Linked DNA regions of Schizosaccharomyces pombe. Changing the gene in region 4 together with the main gene of any one other region gives a genetic interaction. Each region holds a gene or a part of one and is shown on either strand. Other genes may lie near its edges. The genes, in order: mpc1, aga1, fil1 and cdc37.

The links.
Region 1: mutations in cdc37 (region 4) and mpc1 together harm fitness more than expected from each alone (negative genetic interaction), as found in Schizosaccharomyces pombe (one large-scale study listed by BioGRID).
Region 2: mutations in cdc37 (region 4) and aga1 together harm fitness more than expected from each alone (negative genetic interaction), as found in Schizosaccharomyces pombe (one large-scale study listed by BioGRID).
Region 3: mutations in cdc37 (region 4) and fil1 together harm fitness more than expected from each alone (negative genetic interaction), as found in Schizosaccharomyces pombe (one large-scale study listed by BioGRID).

The regions. Positions count from the first base shown.
Region 1 is NC_003421.2:198,564-202,184, forward strand, and holds mpc1 (protein mpc1), read left to right. Parts: upstream 1-1,538; 5' UTR 1,539-1,566; coding exon 1,567-1,568; intron 1,569-1,608; coding exon 1,609-1,713; intron 1,714-1,801; coding exon 1,802-1,896; intron 1,897-2,079; coding exon 2,080-2,120; intron 2,121-2,186; coding exon 2,187-2,281; intron 2,282-2,336; coding exon 2,337-2,424; 3' UTR 2,425-3,062; downstream 3,063-3,621. Other genes in the region: sec6 (exocyst complex subunit Exo3), read right to left, coding at 1-267, 342-407, 466-570, 633-660, 716-753; mug146 (protein mug46), read right to left, coding at 3,209-3,621. UniProt on the Schizosaccharomyces pombe protein: Mediates the uptake of pyruvate into mitochondria.
Region 2 is NC_003423.3:335,851-340,114, reverse strand, and holds aga1 (glutamate N-acetyltransferase), read left to right. Parts: upstream 1-1,834; 5' UTR 1,835-1,976; coding exon 1,977-3,314; 3' UTR 3,315-3,666; downstream 3,667-4,264. Other genes in the region: mti2 (translation initiation factor IF-2Mt), read right to left, coding at 3,667-4,264.
Region 3 is NC_003421.2:809,788-815,260, reverse strand, and holds fil1 (zf-GATA type transcription factor), read right to left. Parts: upstream 3,572-5,473; 5' UTR 2,607-3,571; coding exon 933-2,606; 3' UTR 553-932; downstream 1-552. UniProt on the Schizosaccharomyces pombe protein: Activates genes required for amino acid biosynthesis and acts as a master transcriptional regulator during amino acid starvation. Binds variations of the DNA sequence 5'-GAT[AC]GC-3'.
Region 4 is NC_003423.3:1,829,048-1,833,650, forward strand, and holds cdc37 (Hsp90 co-chaperone Cdc37), read left to right. Parts: upstream 1-2,039; 5' UTR 2,040-2,141; coding exon 2,142-2,164; intron 2,165-2,224; coding exon 2,225-2,251; intron 2,252-2,328; exon of another isoform or gene 2,329-2,580; coding exon 2,581-2,591; exon of another isoform or gene 2,592-2,633; coding exon 2,634-3,973; 3' UTR 3,974-4,083; downstream 4,084-4,603. Other genes in the region: mdl1 (peptide-transporting ATPase), read right to left, coding at 1-1,793; SPOM_SPBC9B6.11C (CCR4/nocturin family endoribonuclease), read right to left, coding at 4,120-4,603. UniProt on the Schizosaccharomyces pombe protein: Co-chaperone that binds to numerous kinases and promotes their interaction with the Hsp90 complex, resulting in stabilization and promotion of their activity.

The DNA.
Region 1 (3,621 bases), on a different chromosome or scaffold from region 4:
TTCAAGGGATGCCTGGTATAGGGCTTCTTCACGGAATTCTCGAAGCTTAGAAAGTTTATAATGGGCGCGTAACAAATTTGGCATATCAGAGTCAAGTTCTAAATCTTCACGCAACATGTCTTCTATTACATCTGTCTCCTTGACTAAATTATTTAACTGCGATATCATTTGTTTTGTTGCATAACAATTTTTGTATATCCGAGACATGCGACTGATTAACGGAAATTCATCGACCATCTCGCGTGCACTCTCACATAAAGTCAACATCTAAAAAAAAATCAACATTAGTAAAAAAGTCTTTTAGAAAATGTCAAGAAAGCTTAAGCTTCGACTTTACTCACGTTATGCAATTCCTGAAGAAGCTTCACTCTTTTCGTTTGAGCATCATGCAGTGCCAATTTCCCCAACTAAAGACGTAAGTTAGATCAATTACAATTATCGCATTAATTTAATATTTGTGCTAACCTCAACGGCTTCCACGTGCTTTTCGAGCTCCGTTTTCACATGCATATTAAGAGACGCTTGCTCGCGTTCAAATCGCTCAATATGAGTAGATAATCGATGAAAATCCTAAAATCATCAATTGTTAGCTTTCGATCTTAATTCCAAGCATCCTAACAAGGACCACTTACCTCACATTGTCTAAGAATATCCGCTACCCTGACAAAGTTAGAGTAATCGTTTCATAAATGGTATTTTGATAAATAATCCTTACTTGTTATAGACAGCATCATCCGATGCGGCAGCGGTCATTTTCTTAAAGTTATAAGCAGACCTAGTGCTTACAAACGTTTCTATTTACTGACAGATTGATTAATATATTTACGGACTGGTTGTAAAGGCAGGCAGCTTTAAAGCATTGCAATTCATTTCCGTAAAACAAATAATTCTCTCGTCAAACTTCCTTAACTAATTTAAGAAGTTTGTACAGCATAAATTTTAATATCAAATTCACACTCGTAATAAGGTGTAAGGAAAATATTCGCATTGCTCTATTTTTATAATATTTAAATGATAGATTGATAGAATAGTATAGATCTGAGCAAGGGTTTAAATGAGTATTTAGCCAAATTTTTTGTTTTTGTTATCCAAAAATAGTTAGCATACCTTTTTACAAAAATTTAAATAATTGGTCCTGTTCGAATTTACCTATAGTGTTCAAATCGTCTACGAGGCTCATTTAAGTAATAATATATACTTTGTCTCGAAATCATCCTTCTTCCCTATAATCCCAGAAATCAGTATACTTCTTAATTGACAAAAAATCAACAGGAATTTCTTTTCTTTTAACATCCAATTAATAAAGCTCATAATGTGAATTAATGGATTACGTAAAGCTTCGGTATCTGATTTCTTCAAAAAGTGAGATTTTTTCCTGATAAAGTAAAAAATATATATATAATAGATTATTTGTTATATAATCTTCCAATATTCATCAACTGATTGAGGTATAAACATTAAGAGACTGTAGCTAATCTCCGATTTTTCTGCTCCACTAATAGGATAATAAGCTAGTAATTTGAAGCCTTTGGCAAGCCAACCACAGCCTATATTATTTTTTTAAAAATGTATGTCACTAAAAAAAACAGTTTTAACATTTTTTTGTAGGAATGCATCAGAAAAGTTGAGCCAAAAGGCTGCTCAGTCGGTCACAAGAAGGTTTATTACCTGGTTGAAAAGCCCTGATTTCAGAAAATATTTATGTAGTACTCAGTAAGTAGATGGAAAGGTTTAAAGATTGCTATCTCTCGTTTTTTTTATATTATTTATGGTTTAAAAGATTTCTTTGCTAATAAGATAGCTTCTGGGGTCCGTTGTCGAATTTTGGAATTCCTATTGCTGCTATTTTGGATTTGAAAAAGGATCCCAGGCTTATTTCTGGGCGCATGACAGGTGGTATGTGTTAAAAAATAGTCATATCAATAACTTGGCCATGACAATGCGGTTTTGGGGAAGCTCTTTTAGAGATTGGAGTTAGTTTCCTTTTTTCCGCTGATCGTGGTTATCTCTGTTGTCAATGCAGTTATCGAGATGACTTTCTGTATCGTTTAAAAGTTGCTTTTTTGTTAATCTCCTTAGCACTTATTCTCTATTCCAGCGTCTTTATGCGTTATGCCTGGGTATGTTTTGAATCATCTTACTCCTTTCTCCAATATTTGATAGAACTTTTACTAACTAGCGTTTAGATGGTAAGCCCACGTAACTATTTATTACTCGGATGCCATGCCTTTAATACCACTGTTCAAACGGCACAAGGAATTCGTTTCGTCAACTTTTGGTAGTATGTGTATTGAGACTTTGTTATTCTATTGTTTACTAACGACTTATTTAATTAGTGGCAAAGAAGGTGCTTCTAAACAATCTGTTTTCGAGAACATCATGCAAGCAGCCAAACATCCTGAAAGTGGCACTCGTCAAAAGTGAAAAGGGTCAAGTATTTATTCTTTAAAATACGAGTGAACGGATAAGTCACTTGCTCTAACAAAATTGATTCGAAGGAAGGGTATAAATAAGCAAACCTGAGAAATATGTGTTATCGGTTTATTACTTGCTCTAATATAGGAAAAATTCATTTTTCCTATTTAGTTTAGGATTTGCAAATTTTGAAGTCCGTCATTATTTTGTTAATGTACATTCTTTTTTCTTTTTACAAAATGTCTTTTTCTATTTTACTGGTCCGAGACGTCGTATCCTTGTTTTTTGTGGAAGCACAACTAAATTGTTTTGATAATATCAACAATATGTTTTCAGGCAAAAGTTGTCACGTGGAACGATATTTTTATGATTGTGGCTTCTAGTATTCTGTACTTCTTAATACAAAATATTAACACTATTATATGGTAGCACCATGGCGTACTAGTTTTCTGATTTGTCGGTTACTGAATATTTATTGAATATATTGATAACGGTAAAGTCACTTTTTAAAAGAGCAAGTTCAGTTACACAATCTAGCTTTTACTAGGAAAAGTAGTTTCAATTACTTTTTTAATTAATTTTGTGTAATATTCCGATATATTAGATGTTAGGCTTAAAAGAAATCGAAAATACTAACAATTAGGGAGGTCATTAGTGAAAAAGAAAATTAAACAAAATATAAACGATCAACGGTAATACGTGATCACAAAATTGAAGGTCAAAGCATTTCATCACCAAAATTTTTAAAGTTAGGTGAACATGATCGGGAAGTTCAGAATAGCTTTCACATATTTTACACCAGAACGCCAAATGCTTGTAATTCTATTTTTATTTTATCAAAAAATGCTTCATTGACAGAGTTTGTAGACACCGTATCTGAGTATTTACGGATGGCTGTTTGTAAATCCGTAAGCAAGAATTCCAAACGTAGCAACAATAATGAAGGATCCTCTGATGATTCTTCATTGATATTTTTCCAAATTTTTTCAAGATGAGAGATGTGCTCCTTATGCACGATTTGTTGATCAATGCCGTTATCTTTTGTGTTGTTTAAGAGCTCTTTTAAAATGTTGAAATTTTTCTCAAAGTCTGCACAAACAATTTTGTCATTATCCATTGGATCTATAGAAGACCAATCGGTCTGAATTTTATTCTGATTAAACATACACAAGGAAGTTAAATCGGTTTGCTTATATAACGAATTTG
Region 2 (4,264 bases), 1.5 Mb from region 4:
TTATGCTATCAGTCGCTTGCTAATATTTGATTGGCTCTTCTTTCAGTAAACTAACAAAGCATTGGAGCTTTTATAAACTACGTCATTTAAGTAGGCGTGAACTAAATTATTGGACAGAATTGAGTTTCTTTCACTATGCATTGGAAATTCCTATAAATAGTCGATGAAGTCTGCGAAACAAGGGAGGTAAACAGACTTAGTGGGTATTAAAATGTTGGTCAATCTTCTGCCGTCTTGATTTAAAAGCACTTCTCTTTTACTATTGTAAGACGGAATATGCATGCAAGATCGCTTTAGTTGGTTGAATGTCTCTTTCTTTGTGTTGTGGTTTGTTCGTTTTTTTCTAATTTGGAATATTATAAGAAACGTTGTTTTCTTGCAACATTTTGAAATGGTCATTCAAAAAGCTGGATTCGGTACCACTTTTCTTTTTACCTTGTCTTCTAAGCTCTGTTAAATTTCTTGATGGGGTCCAGTTAAACCAACCCCCAAGTTGGTTTATGTGAGCCTTGTCTCTTTTTTGGATGAATAGTAGCTTAGATAGTGATAGTTATTATTATGACTGATGGAATCTACTTAAAAATGGATTCCATTTTTTGTCTACTGTAATTGAATTCTTTTTGGTACACTTTTTGGCTGCATTGTTATCCTTGAAAGCACTTACAATGTTTAAACTTTGCGAATGACTGAAACAGAAAAGAAATAAAACGACTGTACCTGAACTATTGTTGAAACAATATTAAAACGTATTCCTGAAACAGATTAAACTACATTAAATTTTGTTAATGAATTAAACGTGAAACTTGAAAGTTTGATGCGAAACAAAACCCGCAGTTTGTTTAAACGCTTATTTGTGATTAAAATTGATGAACCAGTTTAAACTATGAAAGTGTTTGAAAACGTGCTGAAACCATTCGTTAAACCCTGCAAACCAACATAAAAAAAATTGAAAATAAACAATAACCACAGCAAGCTAATTCAATTCCAACAATGGTATGTTGCATTGGTCTTCGGTTGTGCTGTGCTCCCTCTTTTTTTGAGCATAGTTAAAACCATTAATACTATTTAAACATTTCTCTTTAAAAAAGAGAAGAGAATAGCAACACATAGAATTTCCAAATTCAACATGCCTTCAAATTTGAAATCGCAAGGAACAGCTATTAATGAATGAAACGAGTTAAATTGAAATAAATCAAACACTATAAAGATTATTATTCTATTTCTTGCTTAAAACACACTTTAAGGAATTGAAATTTTTCACGTAAAATGTTGATGAACTGGCTTTAAATTTACATGCAAGTCTTGATTGTGAAATGATGCGTTGGAAGCATGAATTGGTATTTTCTTTTTTAAAAAAAGCAATGAAAAGTTTGAAAAAGGCAATAAAACTTGGAGGTGGTTGGACTTTGCCGATTTCACGAAGTTTTTCTTTGCTGTTTGAAACTCAACCAAATAAATTAAACAGTGGTAGCAGCCCCAATTAAACTGAAAATCTATCAGTTATATGTTCATGAATGTGTAAAAGCAGCAGAACAGACAGATCCCAGCATTTTTCCCTTCTCTTTGCACTACATTATGAGAGGGATAACTGATATTCTGTAATGTAGATCTGAGAAAACGAAGGCAAAGCTAATCCCGAATGTAAGGTTTAGGGAGCTACTTGTTTTCATCCTTTCGAACGTAAGGCTCATAAAGTATCATTAATTAAACGTAAGAATAATAAATTTCAAACAAATTAGTTGTTCGCTATACCTACTTTTGTTGTGCAGCATTCCCATCTTCTTATCAAGTTTCACTTGATAACCGCTTCGAAGATTCAGACTTCATCCTTCTTAAACCACTACCGCCATCGCATATATATATTTATATACAAAGCAAGTTTACATTATTGTAGCTTTTATTAAACTGCTCGTTCAATTCTACTAAAAAAGGGATCCACTGATTTTGTTACAAGACTGACCATTAAATTCATTGCTATGCAAACCAAAATTTTTGCACGTCTTGCTGGCATTGGTCGGGCTCGGTTTGTTGGTACGATGCCCGACAAGACCAAATTCATCAGTAAATCTGGAACGTATCCACAAGGTTTCAGCTTAAATGGTATTGCTTCCGGCGTAAAAGCCAATGGAAAAAAGGATTTAGCCATTTTATTTTCCTCTCGACCATGCAACGCCGCAGCCGTCTTTACTAAGAATGCATTTCAAGCTGCTCCAGTTCAAGTTTCACGCCAAACTCTGAACGGCTGTGGCGGTAAAGATATTCACTGTGTCGTGTTCAATAGCGGTTGCGCTAACGCTGTTACTGGTGAGGGCGGTTTGATGGATGCCCAACTCATTACCGCCGAAGCTGATAATTTGACTCGTCCACATTGGACTTCGTGGACTGAGAATTCAGAGGAATTTCCCTCGTCGTTGGTGATGTCGACTGGTGTTATTGGACAACGTTTGAAGTTAGACAAGATTCAAAGCGGTTTGGAACACGCGGTTGAAGACCTCGGGTCCACTCATGAATACTGGATGAGAGCAGCTGAGGCCATTTGCACTACGGATACTTTCCCTAAACTCGTTTCCCGTGAACTTAGTATTGCAGGCAAAGTCTACAGGATTGCAGGTTTTGCCAAGGGCGCAGGTATGATCAATCCCAACTTGGCCACTCTTTTAGGTTTGTTTGTTACAGATGCCCCAATCTCAGTTGATGCAGTCCGATCTATACTTCGTCATGCAATTAACAACAGTTTCAATTCTATCAGTATTGATGGTGATACGAGTACAAATGATACAATTGCCTTCCTTGCAAATGGAGCTGCTGGTGGATCCGAGATTACCAAGTCTTCCCCTGCATACAAGGAGATTCGTGATGCTGTAACGGATATTGCTCAACAACTTGCAAAGCTGGTTGTCCGTGACGGTGAGGGTGCTACGAAATTCGTTACTGTGCAAGTCAGAGGCGCTAGATCAGAGAAAGACGCTGCGTTGGTGGCATCAACCATTAGTAACTCTGCATTGGTGAAAACGGCATTCTTTGGTGAGGACGCTAACTGGGGTCGTATTTTGTGTGCCGTCGGTTATTCAGGTGCTGCTGTCAATCCTCCTGCTACGACCGTTAGTTTTATTCCTGCAGACGGAACTGAACCATTGAAGCTTTTAGTAAATGGTGAACCACAAAATGTCGATGAGACCCGTGCTAGCGAAATATTATCGCAAGACGAACTCACTGTAGACGTTGATCTTGGATGTGGTCCTTATGCCAAAACAAATTGGACTTGCGATTTTTCGTATGACTATGTTCGTATTAATGCTGATTATCGCAGTTAAAAAAGAACAGTGGTCAGTTACCAAATTAACCAAGAGTGAGCTCTACGCTTTGATACCAAGAAAGCTTCATGTTTTTACAGCTTTAAACTCTTCAATTCAATTTGATGAACATACACGACGTTCGTTTACAATACGTGTCTAACAGAAAAAAAGGATTGCTGAGATGCATTCATTAACAAAAAAGTATGTATAAAAAGCTTTGCTTGCTTATGGTAGAAGTTTGCAATTTTAAGCGAAAGTTCATTATGCATGTAACATCAATCATAGTATATCATAATAACATGAATCTTTTCATTCGATTGCCTGCCTTAATTGAAAGGAGTTCAAGCCAGGATTAAATAAGAAGTGCATGCTAAAAATCAGGAGGTTTGTATTCCTCAACAAATGTTTGTAGCTTATCCCCTGTAACTATTTCGTCAAAATTTTTTAATAATATACCGCATTCCCTGCCTTTTTTAATACTGGTGACTTCTTCTTTTAAGTGTTTTAGACTGTCAATTTCACCAGACCAAATAATTTTGTCATTACGTACTAAACGTATTTTATGGGATTTTTCAATAGTTCCATTAGTAACTCGACAACCAGCGACATGAACAACTGCTCTTTTAGCTTTGATGTCGAAGATTGCACTAATAATAGCTTCTCCGGTAACACGCTGAACCAATATGGGCGGTAATCGCAAAGCAAAAAGTTTCCGTACATCATCCATTAAATGATAAATAACGTTGTGAAACAACAGCTTTACATTGTGTTTTTCTGCTAAACGAAAAGTAGCTTTCGGAACGGAAACACCGAACGATATAATGATGGCATCGGATGTTTCAGCTCTCTCAATATCAGTTTCGGTTACTGGACCCACCCCAGTATACAAGACTCGAGATTTTACCTTTCCAAATTGTAATGGTTTGAGATAATCTGACAGGGCCTCCATGGACCCAGTGTCTTCACAT
Region 3 (5,473 bases), on a different chromosome or scaffold from region 4:
CAATCGATGCCGTCTTGCATTCTGCATAACGGTATTAACAATTCATATGTTTTAATATTTATATTATTTTCGTTGTGTAAAGCTAAAAAGCAAGGCTAATGGCAAATATGCCTATATTGTCCTTACACTGTACTGAATCGGTAACAATTGACAAACACGCTTTTATAACATTTTATCAGTGCTTAATTAAATTCAATACATCAATAATTTATTGTTATTTAATTCACCGCTATTTTTGAATAAAGCCAAACTAATTCAAAGAGTATTAATACGTTACTTGTTTCAACAAAGTTTCTTTGCCTCTTACATACAAAAAAATGCTCCACGCCTGCCTACTCGTCTGAGCTTCTCAAAGCTAACCCAGACGGTGAGGTATGGGTAGTACGCTTAAGCGCCATCCATTTTCAGGGCTAGTTCATTCGGCAGTTGAGTTGTTACACACTCCTTAGCGGGTATCTACTTTTAAAACAAACTGCGTATTCGCTAACTAACATTTGCACAACTTAACTTCAAGACTAAAAAAAACTACAAGCTACAGCAACAACATTAAAATGTAAAGAGCACTTAAAAATTGATCAGTCAATTTAATTTCAATCAGTAAGACTAGAAATAAAATATCAAGTGAAATTTTTGTTTATAGTTGCAAAAGCAAGATACAAAAAAAAAGAACAAGAAAAATGAAAAAATAAAAAATTCCAATAAACCCACACATCAACCCTTTATGCCATATCTAATCAAAAGTATATCCCAAATGTGTATTCAAATGTATAGGTTTTAGCTACAAAAGTAATCTTTCAGTACGAAGCGTAGTCTTCAAAACGATTGAAACTTGCAAGCTGTAATAAAAACATAAACAAAAGCTAGAGTAGAAAATAAAAGAGTTTATAAAAACCAAGGTGAAAAAAAAATCAATAGACTCTTAGTAATGTCTTTCAACAAGAGACCGAAAATTTATTCTCTATTTCTTCCTCCTTCTTGACAATAACCGAGTTGTCCAACGAATCAAAAGAGATTTTTGCATGCTCCAACGAAACATCAGCATCGGTATTCGGCATTTTCGAAACAGAAACAGAGTTGGTAAGCTGAGGTGATTCAAGACCCTTTGAAGAGAGTATCTCGGCCATCGTGACGGATTTTGAGAGTACGGGGAATTCTGATTTTACCTCGTCAGACATTCCATCTTCTCCACCAGGGCCCTTACCACGACGACGTCGGGTAATTTTGTTCTTCTTCAAACCAATAGGACGATTGTGGCCATGAAGACGGGCATACAAACCACAAGCGTTACAAACAGTCTGTCCGTGACGATCTTTGCGCCACAACGAAGTTTTCGTAGAAGAGCAATTGGCACACACCAAATTCTCAAGTGCCTTAGATGAGCCTTTGTTTCTAGGAGACAATGGTCTCATAACACCATACTGTTTGTTGTAAAGACCACAAGCATTGCACAAGAAGTTAAGCTTATCTGATGTACGTCTCCATAAAGGCGTTTCAGTGACTCCACAGTTAAAACAGACATGTTCGCGATGTTTCTTTTGTTTCATTACACGTGCTGCCTTACTAGCCTTTTCAGTTTTAACGGCAGCAAGGGGTGTAGAGCCTTTCATTCCCTCTGCTAACGTCGACTTCAGACTGAGAGAAGAAGAGTTAGAGGACAGATTAGGAGTGGAAAATTGGGGCAACTTAAGTGAAGCATCCATGAGTAATGAACGAGCCTTTTCATCTGTTTCAAAGCTTTCAAACGAAAAGAATGGATCAACGGTAGCGATCGAATCGGACAAGCTAGGAACTGAGCCCAAGAACTCAGATTGGGATAGCAAAGCAGAAGACGAACCAGTCAAGGATGAGCTCGATTCGGAGAGCTTCGAGGGAGACGTGGAATCGTTCAGCTCCCTTTTAACAGGCGACTGAGGTGACATGAAGCCCAGATTGCTTAGCTTGCATCCATAGTTGGTGGGATAAGATATGGAAGCAAACGCACGCTGACAATCACCATCAGAGGCAGGGAAAAGAGGGGCTTGACTTTCATCGAAACCAAACTCGGAATCAAGAGCACCAGGGAATGGTGTATCGATTAATGCCGAGCTTGGCGTTGGGATGCAGGGAGTCTGTACATAAGAGAAAGGGGGTGTGGGTTCTGACGTCTTACTGGAAGACAAGGCAGCAATGTCAATATGAGAGTTCGACAGTATGGTAGACTTTAGCAATCCGGAATCACCGAGTTGCGCAGACTCTAAATCAGAACATTGCCTTTGATTGTCGAAATCCATGCTGTCAAGAAGAGACCAACGAGCAGAGGGGTTGGTTTGCAATTTCTGATTATTCTCCGTAGAGTTAAAAGCCAAGGGATAATCAGAAAGCAGTTGCAACATTGAAACCGAATCAAAATCAACATCTCCCTTGCCTGGCGCATTGGCGAAAAGGGCATCCTTATGAAGATCAATGGGAAGATTTGCGATATCGGATAATGCTGTATCAGCGGGGGAAGTGAAAGTAGGGTCAAATTCGGAAAATTGACCGTCAAACGACCCTTCAGTCATAGCCGAAGTAGGGAAAGAGGGCTGACCAAAGGGGAAACAAAATTCAGTAGTATCGTTGTAATTCATGATAACAAAATAATTGGATTTGCTATAAACACACAGACACAAAGATAATTATAAAAAAAAATAGAAAAACAAGGGAGAGAAACGAAATTATAATACCGAATTCAATCACACGCGAGTAATATGTTAGTCACACACAGACAAAAAGTAATAAATGTTTAATGTTGACTTTGTAAAAAAATAAGAAGCATAATGCACTTTGGGGATAGTTAAAAAAAACAATAGACCCGACCAAACGATGTAGAGATTCTAAAGACTCTAAATGTTACAACCAGAGGAAAAGAAAGATATTTGACCGAAATGAGTAAATAATAAAGGATTATTCCAACGAAATTAACTTGCGAGTTACATCATATTGGAGAATTATAAAAAAGAGATAAAAGGAAGACGATTAAAATAAGAGAGAAAATTATTTAATCAACCACAATAGTAGAAAAGATTAACCGAAAAATACTAAAAAGATATTCGATAAACAAAGAGATAGGAGAAAAATTTTGGTAGAGGGATAGAAAACCTAAAGCAAAATTAAGAAGATAAAAAAAATGAGGTGAAAAACAACCTACGATAAATTCTCAATGAGACAACATTTTGAATGATTTAGGAGAAAAAGACTTAACGACGACACGAGGACGAACGAAGCATGCTTTGTAAACGTAATATTGGGGGTGGAAACAAAAGATCCGAAACAACAAAAACAACCAGTATATTCGATTTCAACAAGGAAGTAAAATCAACTTAAAAAAACGAGGACTTTATAGATAATTTAACACATCTTGGGAAAAATTAAATCTGAAAAGTAACTAGAAAACTGAGGTATGTAAAAAAAAATATGTCAACACTAAATGGAGTAGAAGACAAAAAAATAGAGATTTAAAAGCTTAAAATAAATGTAATAGACGATTTACGAGATCAGGATGTTAACGCTGTACTAGTAAAATTGTGTGGTAGTTGTGGTGTTGTTGGTTGTTAGTAAGTTTGGTGTAGTGGTAAAATAAAAAAGGAAAAGAAAAAAACCGGCGGCGCAACGAGCTCTTAAATAGGAAGAACGTGACAAGAAAGCCACTACGTAGTCAACATTCATGCAGCTATTATGGACAGGTACGGCAACTTTTGATTGGTAGAGAGAGGAGGCATAATAGTAGGGACAGCGCCTTATCAGAGGGCTTATCGAACGATCGGGGTGACATCGGCCCCAAAGCTTATCGCATCTAAGTCGCTTTGTAAGTGGTGGGAAAAACATTAGATAGCCAATCAAAGATTGCAAAGACTTGAAAGCAACACCCAGGCCAGCACGCAATGAACCATCGTTCAAGTGCATTAAAGTATATAGCGAAAGAGAATGGAATGCAGTAAAATCAACCGGCTGTGGAAGTGAGTAGCGCCGATATCGCTATATAGGAAGTGTGGGGGTGTATATATAAAATGGGGGCGAAAGGGTTACTATAGAGACAAATAGACACGAGGTAACTAAGTAAGTAGGTAGGAGAAAAGCGAATTAACAATTTGAACTTGATAATAAAATAGTTGTGTATTTCTCAGTCAATTTAGAATCAATTGAGGAGAAAACTACATGATCATAGAAGGGAAAGAAGGAACACAGCGAAAGAAAGAAGCGTTAAACAATAGGAATGGTTCTTTTTGAACCGATTGTTTATAGAAATAATAAAATGAATGTTATGATGTGAATGTATGAGTGGAATGTGGATGTGAATATGAATATGAATATGAATATAAAAGAAGATGTAATTAAAAAGTAGGATTTGGAATTTTTCACAACAAAAACTCGATTAACTGTAAATGTCGAGTCCTATTGTTGGTTAAAAAGAAAATTACTTAAAAGTCCTTTTGTAATAAATTCTACTCTTAAAAATTAAAACTGTTTATGCCTTATTATTACACATGTGTCCGACATGCCTTGCCTGTCCAAAATGCCTTGTCTACTATACTTTTCTATACTCAGTCTAACGCATTTACTTTCTCTGCCTGCAACCTTTCTGACCCGCTATAACGATAGTGACTGTATTCGTTTAAGCTTAGTTTCCGTGTTCCATCATCAATTGTTAAGCTTATTTCCGCAAATACACTCGCTCTCGCTATTTAAAGAATTTTCGGATTTTTTCGGTCTGCGCAGTAGCGACTATGAAGGCAGCAGAAGTACATTCCTACCGGAGAATGAGTTCCGTTGGTATTACACACGGAAGGCAAGTGACAAGGCTAGTGAAGGATGATCGATTGATCCTATTTCTCGGGTTGTAAAGGCCCCAAAAATAGAGTGTTACAAGAAAGTAATGGGCCTTGCTTTGTGCGTATTTTTGTTATTCAACATGAGTTTGCTATAGCATGAATTTTCTCTGAAATGCGCATACTAAATTGCAAAACTTGTTTGATAAAAGTGCAATACACTTATCATAACGATGTTGATGAGTAAATGAATGTTGCGCATCACTTGACAGTAGCAAAGTGCAATTATTGGTTTGCGCAACGTTGTTTTGTTCATTTCGCCAACTTTGCTTATTCACACCGGTTCTATGTTCAGGCATTTTGTTGGTCGTTGGTTACTAGAGGAAAAACTGTTGTTGTTGATACAAACAGAACCCAATTGTCCTTCAACCCAATCGTTTCTCAATGTTTACATGGTCAAGGTTTGTAGTGGAATAAATGGAATGGGCTGGGATGAAAGGAAATTAGCACGTGGAAGTGTAAACACATGATTTTTCAGCAATCCCGCTAATGTGATAGGCTTGGGTGAGAAGATGAAAGAGAAATAAAAGAAATAATCGTTCATCAATTCGTTCAACAGTTATAAAACAACCCGACCAGATAAAGTATTTGAAAGATTGGAGTCATTCAAGAAAGCGTAAGGATTCGAG
Region 4 (4,603 bases):
TTCGCTCGTTTGGCAGCATCTTCGATTTCCTCTTGAGATGCGTTAGATTTACCGTAAGCAATATTTTCGCCAATTGTACCAGAAAATAAAACCGGTTCTTGTCCAACTAAACCAAAATGACTGCGCCATTGATGAACATTATATGTAGAGATGTCAACTCCGTCAGCTAATATTTTCCCACTACTAGGTGCGTAAAAGCGCAAAAGGAGCTGTGAGATGGTGGATTTTCCACCGCCACTAGGTGCGACTATAGCAACATTGGTGCCTGGATGAATGTCGAAAGATAAGTTATCAAATATTGAAGCTGAAGGACGAGTTGGGTATGCAAACCCAACATTTCTGAACGAAAGTATTGCCTTTCCGACTGTGACTGGAACGGGAATCCCAACGGTTGGAGCTATCTTCGGTTTAGCATCTAAAAGTTCAAATAACCGACTAGCAGCTCCCAGACCTTTCATAATATCAGTAAAACATCCTGATAAGCCAACAATGCTTCCACCGGCATAAACGGTATACAGCAAAAATGAACTTAGCTGTCCTACAGTTATATCACCTGCAGCAACCATTCTTCCGCCTAACGCAAGAATAGCGATTACAGTTGCGTTCCCAAGGAACCCTGTTGACCCGAAGAAAATACCGCTAGCAAAAGCCTCTCGCTTTGCCAGGACAAAGAGATTTCGAATGTAATCGTTGTAACGATTTACTTCTTGTCTTTCTCCTAGAAAAGCCTGTGTAGTCCGAACATTTGCGAGTTTCTCTTCTGAAACCCTTGTTAAATCACCGAGAGCATCTTGTGTAGTCCTGGAAAGTTTCCGAACATACTCTCCATAAAAGAAAGCTCCCAATGCAATTGGGGGTACAATTAGGGACATATATCCAGTGAGTCTCATGGATACGTAGAGCATCATCCCTATTCCAGCAATTGCACTAACTGAGCTACGAAGACCATCACTTAAGTACATTGATAAAGACTTACCGACAATACTCGAATCCGTCGTAAGACGGGATATGAGATCCCCATGTTTATGAAAGTCAAAAAATGCTCCATCTAATGACATGCATTTAGCAAACAAGCGTGCTCGAAGACGACTGACAATTCTTTCACTCAGTAGACGCAAGGTGATGATTCTACCAAAGTTACAAGCTGAACCAAGGAAAAATAAACCCAACAAACCAATATAAAACGTACCAGAAGGAATTCCCATGATATGCGTGACAGAAGAATCGCCTGACGAGCCAGCGTCTAAGATTTTGCCAACAATGTAGGGAATGGACATTGTAACGCCGGAGGAAACTAAGAGAAGAGATCCAGCAATAAAAAAATTCCATCCCTGACCCCTTGCTAGTGTGAAGAGACGAAAAACATTGACTTTCTTGTTTGGTGTTTGTAATGTACCATTTGTATTTATTTTTGAGATATCCTGTGCTTGCTCATCTTTTGATGGAACTGTAGAATTATGTCGCACACACAACTTTAAAAAAGCAAGTGATCGTATAGGAAGAATAGATCTAGAAAAAGGTAACGGAAAACTATTTTTAAAAGGATATATCTTAGAACCACTTGAGGCCTTTTGAGATAACGAGTTTAGGCTCACATTAACCTGTGAAGATAACTTACTGGTACTATAATATTCTGCATTTGGCGTGGGAAGTAATAGAGTATTCGTACTTTTGTAAGCCACGTTGTTTTTCAACCAAGTCAACGGTACTAAATAGTTTGCTCGAAATATTACGCGTTTATTGTAGCAGTGAGCGAATGGTACTCTCGAAAGTCCAAAACGTATTGGATCCATCCATGAATGTGCCTTTCAAAGGAAATGAACGGAATCTTTTCGAAACGGGGTTTACACAGGCTTTTGGCAACAAAAGGTGCGCAAAGTATGTACAAATAAATTATTTAATATATACTTTTTATTAGTATTCGTTCTATCAAATTTTCTCTTCTCTACGGTATTAGTAGTTTCGATAGAATTTCCACGAAGTACTCTACATTCGCATAAGGTAGGTGCTTTGGTACATACTAAGATTTCATTTACCTTAACACAACCACTTCTCTACAACAAGTCAAATCGACGAGAATAGCAAAGACATTTGTGTCTTTTACTTTTTTTAAATTTCTTGAAATTATAATTTGCTTCGAGATGGCAATTGATTACAGCAAGTGGTAAGTTTATTGATAAGTTTGTTTTTAAGTAGGCGAATATGAAGTTAACAGAATTGACAGGGATAAGCTAGAACTTAGTGATGACAGGTATGAAATATACGGTTTGGAGAGGAAATCGGCTCTGTAAGGACAATGGTTAAATACTCTACATGATGCCTTTGATTGGAGTACAATAAAAGAAGTCGAAATGAAATTTCATTAGTAGGATGGAATAAATTCAAAAATAAAATTCAGACTCATCTTTTTATCATTTTGAAGGACATGTTGGGTTCAAAAAGGCAATCATTAATTTGCAGTTTGTATATTTGATGCCAATTGGGTTCTTTTAGCTAATAAACAACCATTGTCAAAACATTCCTTTCTTTTCCTTCTTCATTTATTTTTCGTTTTGATAAATTCATGCTAACAACATTTAGTGACATTGAAGGTTTGTTACGGGTTGTATTCATATTAAATTAACCACATGCAGTTCATCCAAATGTCGATAAAAAGTCTTTTATTAGATGGCGCCAACGTGATATCCACGAAAAACGGGCTGTTAGAAAGCAAAAAATGGAAGATATCAAAGGTGCAATGGCGATGAATCGTAGACTCTTGTCTCGCATCTCCGAAATGGAGACTGTTCTTGAGAAGGAATCTCCTTCGGATCCTTATGTTTTATTGGGTTCATTTTTAGAGGCAAAAAAGTCTGAAGATATGGATAGTGCCATTCCTGGAGGCATGTCGTATCATCATATGCTTATGTCTTTATTAAAAGTAATTAAAGATGCCGAAGACACTACCGAAGAAAAATCTATGGATGATTCGGATAAATGCTTGAGACGATTAAAGTCACACAAAGAGCGTCTTCTGAAGTTGCTAGAAGATGCACAAAAGGAGTATGATACTTTAGAGGCTGAGAGTAAAAATTACATCACTTCTGAAGACTTGCATTTGGGCTTTGATTCCACCTATGTTCAGAAAAAGGAGCCTGAAAAACCTAAAAAGACTAAAACCAAAAAGGAGACCATCCAGGTCATTGAATCTCTTAATAACCCTACACCTCCTACTGATTTTCCCGGCGCTAAAGAGCAAGCTTCTACTGGTAATGCCCCTAAAAATCCTGTCAATGAGAATGAGTCGGAAGATGAAGAAGGGTTGTCTCTTTCTGAAGATGGTAAGAAGTTTGCCAATATTGATTTTGGTGATTATTCTTCATCGGAAGAGTTTTTGAAAGAACATTTAAATATCTTGGCAGATGAGGAAGAATCTGATGCTATTCTTTTGGAAGCCTTTAATGCTGAACTAGAAGGGAAGCCGTCCTTAGCAAAACAATATGTTCATCAAGCCCTTTTGATCAGCTATTGCAGACAGCTTGGACCAAATGGTTTATCAATATTTTTTCAAAAAATTAAAGACCCAAATCACCAATCTCAGCGGCTATTTTTAGAGGATGTTCATAATACATATGTCCGAATCCATGAACGTTCTGCTGCCATCAGCAAAGAACAAGCTGAAAGCGGTGAAGGAGTAGAACAAATCCAGCTCTGTGCAGTTGATCCTAATACGAAACTTTCCATCACCATCCCGGAGGCAGGTTCTACTGATCCAGAGACACAAAAAGCTCGTGCAGCTTTTGAGTCTTTTCCTCCTAACCTCCAAAAAGCTCTTATGACCAATGATTTAGACAAGATTAATGTAGTTCTTGGAAAAATGGCAGTTGAAAATGCAGAAGAAGTTGTGGAAAAGCTCAGCAGTACTGGTATGTTGAGTATCGAAGAAGGAATCATCGACACAACGAAAGGTGAGACTATTCCTCAATTGTCTTAAATTTTTCTGCTTACGGGTGTGCTTTTAGTAAGCGAAAACACCAAAGTTACATGTTTGCCGTTGGCATTTTTAAATGGATAAACAACAATGAAATTTTATTTATTGATTTACCATACCTTGTGTGTACCGTATAATAAAATAAGTATTTAAACAATTTGTACATTTGCCATCAAAGCAACGTGGTCGCTGGGATATCTTCCTTCTAAAGGCTCCGCTTCCTTCATCTCACTGGGTAAAGGCACACGTAACAGTGCCTTTAATTTTATACCTTCAACGACTTGATTTTCGGGAGTTTGAAGTGAGGTATCACGATTCATAACAAATATGTAGTCCAAATGGCCCTGGTAAGCATGAGCCCAATTGGTAAATGCTGGATGATCAAACGTATTTTTTGCATTTTCTGGGTGAACCAGTTTATAGCCCACTGAATAAAGACTGAAAAGTACGGGATTTTGCTCGTGCTGCTGATAAAAAGAACGGTAGTGAGGTACATAGTCATTTTGTACATGCAAAATTCTCTTTTTTGGGGTAGAAGCTGTGGATTCGGGAACACTTGAGGTAGAAGAGGATTGACATTCTTCTTTGTCATCTTCATTGGAATCATTTTCTGTCTTAGTACTAGCATTTTTT